Sus scrofa: one gene and its partner. The protein of the gene in region 1 interacts with the protein of each later gene in a biochemical or structural test. Links are inferred from orthologs where the notes say so. Each region holds a gene or a part of one and is shown on either strand. Other genes may lie near its edges.

Region 1 (4,322 bases):
CTTTTTTTGGTTAAGGACAGAGCCATTTAAGATAAGGACCCTTTAACCACAGATTAATGTTTTAGGATTTCATTATGGTTTTGCAGAGGTGTCCTGGAGAGCTCGGATAATAAATATTGTTATTTACTTTTGAAACATTTGTGGTGTCATGGGTTTTTACTGTTCACAGATATGCGGACGATATCTACAGGGATGTACCATTCACTACGCTGAAACTCTCCCCCTCAATTTGGAGAAGCAGAGTTCTGCCTTTGGGCGCTTAGTCAATAAAAATGGCTTGTTGATTAATGCAGCAAGGCAGGTGAGTAGTACAAGTCTAAAGAGAGGGAGATCCCACAGAGAGTACTGTTACCTTTAGCATTTCTGCAAGTGAAATGGCGGTGAAAACGAGCACCCAAGAGCTGTCAAAGGAAAAGCAGTCCAGAACTTTGAAGGGAGATGTGCGCGGGGTGGATCACGGGTCTGTATTGTGTGTAAATGAGCTTCAGGTTTCTCTGCATACAGCGCTGGGGACAGGGAGAACATCCGAGGTACAGGTTGGAGCCTCCTCTTAGGAAACTACAAAGGGCTCTGAAAGAAAGGTTGTTCAGCGGTTTCTGTAGGCAGGGCAGTAATCTGTTTAAGTAACGGGGCGAGCAAAGCTAGCAGAAACTGGTCACCTGGATGAAGAAAGGGAAGCAGGAAAGCAAAGTATCATGGATCCACTGCCTGCGAGCGAGCAGAGCAGAAATGATCACAAAACAGAACAGGTCGTAAGAACTCAGGGACGCAGGGCAAGGGGTTCTGGTCTTCCTGAAGGGGGTGGGCGTGAGTGACGTGGCCAGAGTGGGTCCTTCCAAGCACTGGGGAAGAAGGAAGAGTCAGGCGCCCGCATCCCCTATACTCCATAAATTCTGCATTCTCTCCCCGCCCCCCCCCAAGGGGCTGGAATAACCTTCTATATGCTCTCCGGCAGCTGAGAAATAAGCTTTGGCTCTCCTAGGAGGGCCAGGCGGTGAGCTACCTTCAACCTCCAACCCTCCCGCCACCGGCTCACCGTCTGTTGCCGGGCGCGGGGCGCGGAGGGGGCGGGGGGGGGCGCGCCTAACGTCCGAGGCTGGGGTGTGTGAGTGAGAAAGAAAGGATGCTGAAGGCTTCTGGACCTCCGACCACTCAAGACCAGCCTACGAGTCTCCCCGCGAGCTTGCAACTCTGGCAAGTGCTTCTTTACCCGCGCTCACACCCCTTGGTGATCCCACCGCAGCTAGAAAATTACCCGGGCAACGGCGCCGGCTGAGTCCCGGATGTGGTTGCTAGGGCCGCAGAGGGAGGGGCGGGGCCCGCCTCCCGGAGGGCGGTGGAGGGGGCCTTGGGGGAGGTGCGCCGGCACCATCGAGACGCGGCTGGGCCGGCCAGATCGAGGGAGAGAGAGGCCGTCCAGAGCCACGGACAACGCTACTTCCGGTCCCCTCACTTCCGGCTCCGCTGCTCTCGGCTCGGGGGTTGCAGGCCGGGTTGGGAGGCCGCGGCTCTGCGTGTCCTCGGCCGTCGGTCAGGGTGAGGCTGTGACAGCTGCACTTGCTCCCCGCCCCCGCGGAGCCGAGGTGCGTGGGGGGGAGGGTAGGAAGGAGGAGGCTCAGGTCGCGTTTCCGCTCACTTGGGGCCAGGGCTGAGGCAACTCTGGAGAGCAGAAGGCAGGGCTGATACTCGACGTGAGAACCGCTGGCTTCTCCGCGGACAGGTGAAGGCGGAGATGGCCGGCGGGGAAGAGGCGGGGGAAGGCGGCTGGGAGGGGTTGACGGGGCGGGACACGTTGCCGCTGGGGCTCTCAGTTCCGGACTTTCACTGGGCACTTCTGTCCTTAGTCCGTGCCATCTGTCTCTGCTCAGGTATTCGGCCTTGGATCTCTGCCCCTTCCTCCCTTCTGTCCCACCTGCGTGTGCCGGGTGAAGAGGTAGGACCGGCCCTCCTGGGGCGGCGCCCTCCCGGTTTTGCACGCATCGAGTGGGAAAAGGGGTGGCAGGATCCAGGAGTGGGTCCACTCGGAGTGGGCCACCGTCAGGTTTGGGGGTCCAGCCTTTACGGTTCTCTGCCTTTCCCCGCATCCCGCACTTCTCTCCTCCGCAGTGGGAGGGAGGGAGACGCGGTAGTCCCTGCGAGAGGCTCTTCGGGCAGTGGTGCAGGGAGGCGCCCCGCCTGTGAAAGGTCCTGAGCCTTGCTCAGCTTACGCGGACCGCCAAGGAATGCTGGAGTTGGGAAGGAAGTTGTGCTGGCGTCTCGTCCGTTCCTCTTTGCCAAGTTACTACTGTTTACGTGTCTAGGAAAAAGGATTTTTTTTGTTTTGTTTTAAAGAACTGTTTCTAGACGCTTTTCCCTTTTACTTATTACTTCCTTTGTTTTTTTCTTATCTCCCTCTCGAACCCTTTGATCTCAAAAAAGTTTGTAGTCTGCACTTCCTGCAGATCCTTTAGCCGCCCCCTTTTAGGATTTCTGTCCCCCTCCCTTCATTTTTTCCTAGATTAAAGCATGTCATTTCTCTAACTCTGTTCTAAAGGGAAAAAATGGAAGAGTTGCAGGACTTCTCGTGAACTTGTGTTTTCACTTGCAAGTGTGGCAGGTGTGTGTTCACATTGCAATTTAATTAGCTTTTTTGGCATGGGAACGTGCGCCGGAATTGGTTACGTTAAATCATTCCTGTGTCAAGTCTGCAGGGATTGGCTATTTTATCGCTGCTGTCTCAGAGTGAATACAACAGATTCTACGTCACTATTGTTTTAAATTCACTTTTCTTTTGTTAGTCCTGTGGGGTTTTTTGGTTTGTTTGTTTTTCCTTTCTTTTCTTTCTTTCTTTCTTTTTTTTTTTTTGCTTTCCTTGCTAACATGGCCAACACTTTCTCCCAACCACTACATCTAACACTCCATTAGCTGAGAAAATATGTCTCATTTTATTTTATTTTCTGGGTTAAAATCTCTGCCTCAGTTACTTTCATCTTTTCAGATTGATAAATTAGTTTGCCTTAATCCTGGGTTGTGCTTTGGGGTTCCATGGTCTAGGGGTCAGTGACTTTCAGGGTGTTTCCTCACCCCTTCACCCCCCCCCAATTATGGTTGAAAAGTTTTGTTTGAGTGCGTTTTCAACCCCGCTGGGGAGAATGTCCATTTTTTTTTATCAAATTCTCAAAAGAGGTATATAACCTTCAGATAGACTAAAAGGCACTCCTTAGGTAGTGTCTTTTTGAAGTTAATGAAACTTTTTTTTTTTTTTTTTTTTTTGTCTTTTGTCTTTTTGTTGTTGTTGTTGTTGTTGCTATTTCTTGGGCCGCTCCCGCGGCATATGGAGGCTCCCAGGCTAGGGGTTGAATCGGAGCTGCAGCCACCAGCCTACGTCAGAGCCACAGCAACGCGGGATCCGAGCCGCGTCTGCAACCTACACCACAGCTCATGGCAACGCCGGATCCTTAACCCACTGAGCAAGGGCAGGGACCGAACCCTCAACCTCATGGTTCCTAGTCCGATTCGTTAACCACTGCGCCACGACGGGAACTCCAGAAGTTAATGTAACTTTTTGTGTGGAGCTATTATTTTTTTAAACTGTACACAGCTAGTTTTGGGCACTGAGGAGAGTAGAATGCAGAGATTCTAGCTTCATACTGATGAAATCTCCAGCTACTTCAAAACTTCGGTGTTTCTAAATTCCTTCCTAGACCTAGAGAAGGAAGTAAGACTACCTACTTATTTAGTTCCTGTTTTGTGGTATTGAGGTTTCTTTATAGGGATAGCTGTGTGTGGCCAGTGTTGTGGCAATCCACTGGATTTAGAAATGGATAAGTTTATTCTTATTTAATACATGTTAAAGATCACCCACCCACTGGGTACAGTTGAGTAAAAAGTTTAAATTTCTGGTGTACTTTGTTTTCCTTTTCTTGTCTTTCATTTGAGGCGTCTGCTTTGGGATTTGGCATGGTTAGGAAGGGCAAATAAGATGTTCCCATGGCGTGGTCCATAAGCCTCTGTTATGTTGCTGCCCATCTTGACATCTCTTTTCCCTCCATATCACCTCTGTATTAAGTATTTATTGGGCATTCTCTTTTGAGAATAAGTTAGTGGCCTTCCAAAGTTTATGTAAGTTTAGAGTGCATATTCGAACTTACTGATTTGATGGTGAAGTGTTTGTTGATTAAGGGTTGATGTTCTAAATGTTTGACACCTGTTTCATAGAATGTTAGAACTTGAAGAGACCTGTGCAGCTCATCATAGTCCTTATTAGAGTAACCAGCTTCTGCTCACGAAATAATTTTCCCTCTATCTAGCAGCCTCACTTTGGGGGGCAGGAAAACATAACT
Region 2 (3,802 bases), on another chromosome or scaffold:
TGCCAAGAGCACGGCAACCGGAGCCAAAGGAAGCAAACGGAGAGAATACCCCACCCCACCTCCCGAACCCCAGAGCTTGAGGGGGGCCACCCCATGAAACCATAACAACCTTGTTTTTGTTTTAAATCCGGTAAATTGGAATGATTCATCATCAGGACAGCAACTGGGACTGGTCACGGATGGGGGGAGGGGAGGGCAGGGGAGGCAAGGCTCTCGTTGGGCATGCGGACATGATACCCAGGGCCTGGCCACGCTGGCAACAGGAAGGAAAGGGTAGGGCTGGGGCAGGGACAGTGGGGGGAGGGTGGTGGTCGGACAGGGCTGCCTGGCTCTCACTTCTTGTTTTTGAGCTGATTGGCCAGCCAGTCCAGGCCTTCGTACAGCCCGTCCCCACTGGTGGCACAGGTGGCCTGAATGTACCAGTTGCGGTGACGCAGGGAATGCAGGCCCAACTTGTCTGTGATCTCAGCAGCGTTCATAGCATTAGGCAAATCCTGGAGCACGAGGAAAACACAGAAAAAGGAGCCTCAGGATCTTTCAAAGGCTCTAAAAGAGCCACCCATCGACCAAAGGGATGTGTACCAGCACCCTCTCATCCTCCTTCGGTTAGGAACCCAGAGCAAGAGCCTCAAGGGCTACCTTGGATTTAATCACCCTACAACTCCAGATCCAATGCACTAAAGGTCATGCCACCGAGGAGCTGGAAACCAAATCCGGGGCTGGCAGGGAAGTGGAGAGGTGATTCAGACCGGGCAAACAAGCGGGTCTGTCCGACCACAGGAGCGAGGGCTGGGCCACTAAGGTGGACAATAGGGAAGATAAAACAGGGATTGGAGGTGAAGTACCTACCACACCAATCCCTCCCGATGGACATGTTGCTCATTAAAGCTGGGACAGGGACAGAAAAGGGGCCTACAGGAGCCAACTCATCTTGTTTCCTGCACTTTCAAAACTGAGAGCACAGTCACAGGGCTTTCCACACAGTAAGACCCTATGCTTTCCCCGGCCAGGCTGCCCTCTCTCAAACCCAGGGGTAGGGAGATGTCTCACCTGTTTGTTCGCAAAGACAAGGAGCACAGCATCCCGCAGCTCATCCTCTGCCAGCATCCTCATCAGCTCCTCCCGGGCCTCATTTACTCGCTCCCGATCATTGCTGTCGACCACAAATATCAACCCTGGGGAGGCAGAGCATGGGCTGCACAGAGACGAAAGATCAACTCCCCTCCCCCACCAGCAAAAGACAACACCCTCCTCACAGCCTCCAAATATTTGCTCCCTTTTCTCCCACGCTTAGGAGCTGCAGCAGGGTAAGAGTCAGCTGCTGATAACCAAAAACAAACAACAGCCACAATCTTCGCTCACACCCAACAGCCCATGCCAGTCCACGGGAAATTCACATGCCCTACCTTGAGTGTTCTGGAAGTAATGTCTCCAGAGAGGCCGAATCTTGTCCTGGCCACCCACATCCCAAACTGTGAAGCTAATGTTCTTGTACTCCACCGTCTCCACGTTGAACCCTTTGGAAAAAGCAGACAATGGTCACTTAGCCTGAAACCGCAGGCCTGCAAACAACGCCCTGGGGGGTTTGTTCCTGTTTCCCCAGCCACGGCCGGGGCCCTGCAAGGGAGAGAAAGCTAAGGCTGCCTCAGGCCTGGTGTGCCTTGGCTTAGGCATGTAAAGGTCCAAAAGAAAACCTGAGAGAAGTGGAAGATGACAAAGAGGGTCAGGCCAGGAAGGAAGTTCTCATCACCTGGGCAACGTGAGACAACCTTCCCGCCTCGTTCTCTCAGTCTCTGACTCTCCCTCCTGCAAAGAAATGACTCAGCCCCACTCCTGTACCTTGGCCACCAGAATCTGCCTCAGCTGAGACGTGGGGCCTGGGAGACAGAGTGAAGAACAGGAAGTGAGCCACAGTCCTAGAGCCCCCAACGCAGAACCAGCTGATGATGATGATCTGGAGCCCCCTCCACAGGGCAAATATTCTCCCTCCCACAGGCAGGTCTTAACTGGGATCAGGGCCACCAGGGATCTAAACTGAAACAATTCCAGGCCTCTGGCAGGAACATCAAAGCCCTTCACCTGCTTTTCAAAAAACAGAGAACAAACCAGCTCAGAGCCTGAGGGCCACTGTTGGGTGCCAGGCTGCGGAAGTTCCTGCATCAGGGAGGGCCAGGGTAGGTGGGCAAACGGCAGCCCCAGCACCTGCTGGTGAGCTAAATAACCACCCTCCCCGAACCCCACAAATTGCAGGGCCCTGCCTGGTGGCCAGGTGGGGGGATCTAGGAATAGGCCCCCGCTCTGGCTCAGCTGTTGGCCTGAAAGCCTACATCCGAGCCATGCCCTTACCAATGGTGGGGATGGTGGTGACGATCTCGCCCAGTTTCAGCTTGTACAGGATGGTGGTCTTCCCCGCGGCATCCAGACCCACCATCAGGATGCGCATCTCCTTCTTCCCAATCAGGCTCTTGAGGAGGTTTCCAAAGATATTACCCATGATCACAGCAGCTGCTTTCTGAGGACAGGCGGGTGCAAGGAGGGGCAGCGGCGGTCTGGTTTTGGTCTGGTCCCTGGTATGGAGGGCTTGATTCTAGGCAAAAAAAATGTCAACTCATTAGCACCATCTGCTTGTCAGGCTTTTGTATGAATGAGAGTTGCCAAAGTCATGGCTGGAGTTCACCCATGACAAACTGAGAGCCTGACGGTACTAAGGGTACTGTGAAGAGCAAGGCCCACTCAGACACATCCTGAGCCTTTGGGAGCAGAGACAAAGCAGTGCACGCTAAGGACCTCTGCTTCTGCCAGTGACTTTGAGGAGCTACTTCGCCTGTCCTTATCTGCACCTGTAAGCGGAGGGGGTGGAACAAGACGATTTCTAAAGTCCCTTCGGTCTCGACATCCACACTATACCCCAAGGCGTCGAGAGATCATTACTGCCGCTCCCTCCCCCCACCTTACCCTGAGACTTCTGGAAAGGGTGGGAGAGGAGGGAGTGGAATGAGGAGTGGCTCTTTGTGACTCCCAACAAGGTCCAGGCTTGCCAGGTTCCCAAGGTTTACGCTCTCTGCTCTAATCAAGAGACTGCTTCTTCCCTTCCTATACTTCCACACTTTCCTTCTACACATCAAAATTCATGAGGAGAAACTAAGAAAGCAACGCTCTTAAAAGAGGCTGAGGCTTTCCACTCTTTGAAATGCCAGCCTCTAAAATCATGCCCTGTTCATACAACACCGCACTGAGAGCTGGGAGGCGGCAGGGGGTGAGGCTACCCCTCATTCCTCACCCAGGTAGGTCCGAGGCTCGCCGTGGCCCATCCCAGGACAGCAGCTCCACAGGGTCACTTGTGCTGAGGCAGTCCTCTCACTCCCTGCTTCTCCTCTAACCCCTTCAGTCTAGTCTCCGCAGAGCAGCCAGACTAATGTGAAAGCCCAAATCAGGTCATGTGGCTCCTCTGTTCAAAACCCTCTTTTGGCTTCCTATCTCCCTTAGTAAAATCCAAAGTCCTACCATGGCCTACAAAGTCCTGCATGATTGGCATTCCTATTTCTGTCATCAGAAATATCCTACCACTCTCCCCTCGGCTTTCTCCACTCCAATTCCTCAATGCTTTGCTGCCTCAAAGCTTCTGTCTTTGCTATTCCCTCTGCCTGAAATGCTCCTCTCCCAAACAACCTTGCTCAAGCACCCCCTCACTTCCTTCAGGAGTCTGTTCAACTGTCATTGTATCAAAGAGGCCTTCCATAACCACCTATAACACACACACACACCACTCTCTACCCCATTTATCCCATTTCACTTTTCTGCA

What was found.
Region 2: the proteins of ARFIP1 (region 1) and ARF3 form a complex in vitro, tested with the Homo sapiens proteins (2 studies listed by BioGRID). The link is inferred for Sus scrofa from reciprocal best matches to the Homo sapiens genes ARFIP1 and ARF3.

Annotation. Positions count from the first base shown.
Region 1 is NC_010450.4:76,267,571-76,271,892, reverse strand, and holds the start of ARFIP1 (arfaptin-1), read left to right. Parts: upstream 1-1,464; 5' UTR 1,465-1,583; exon of another isoform or gene 1,584-1,720; intron 1,721-1,778; exon of another isoform or gene 1,779-1,933; intron 1,934-2,579; exon of another isoform or gene 2,580-2,596; intron 2,597-4,322. UniProt on the Homo sapiens protein: Plays a role in controlling biogenesis of secretory granules at the trans-Golgi network. Mechanistically, binds ARF-GTP at the neck of a growing secretory granule precursor and forms a protective scaffold.
Region 2 is NC_010447.5:14,975,860-14,979,661, forward strand, and holds part of ARF3 (ADP-ribosylation factor 3), read right to left. Parts: intron 2,588-3,802; 5' UTR 2,495-2,587; coding exon 2,347-2,494; intron 1,518-2,346; coding exon 1,407-1,517; intron 1,176-1,406; coding exon 1,051-1,175; intron 495-1,050; coding exon 333-494; 3' UTR 1-332.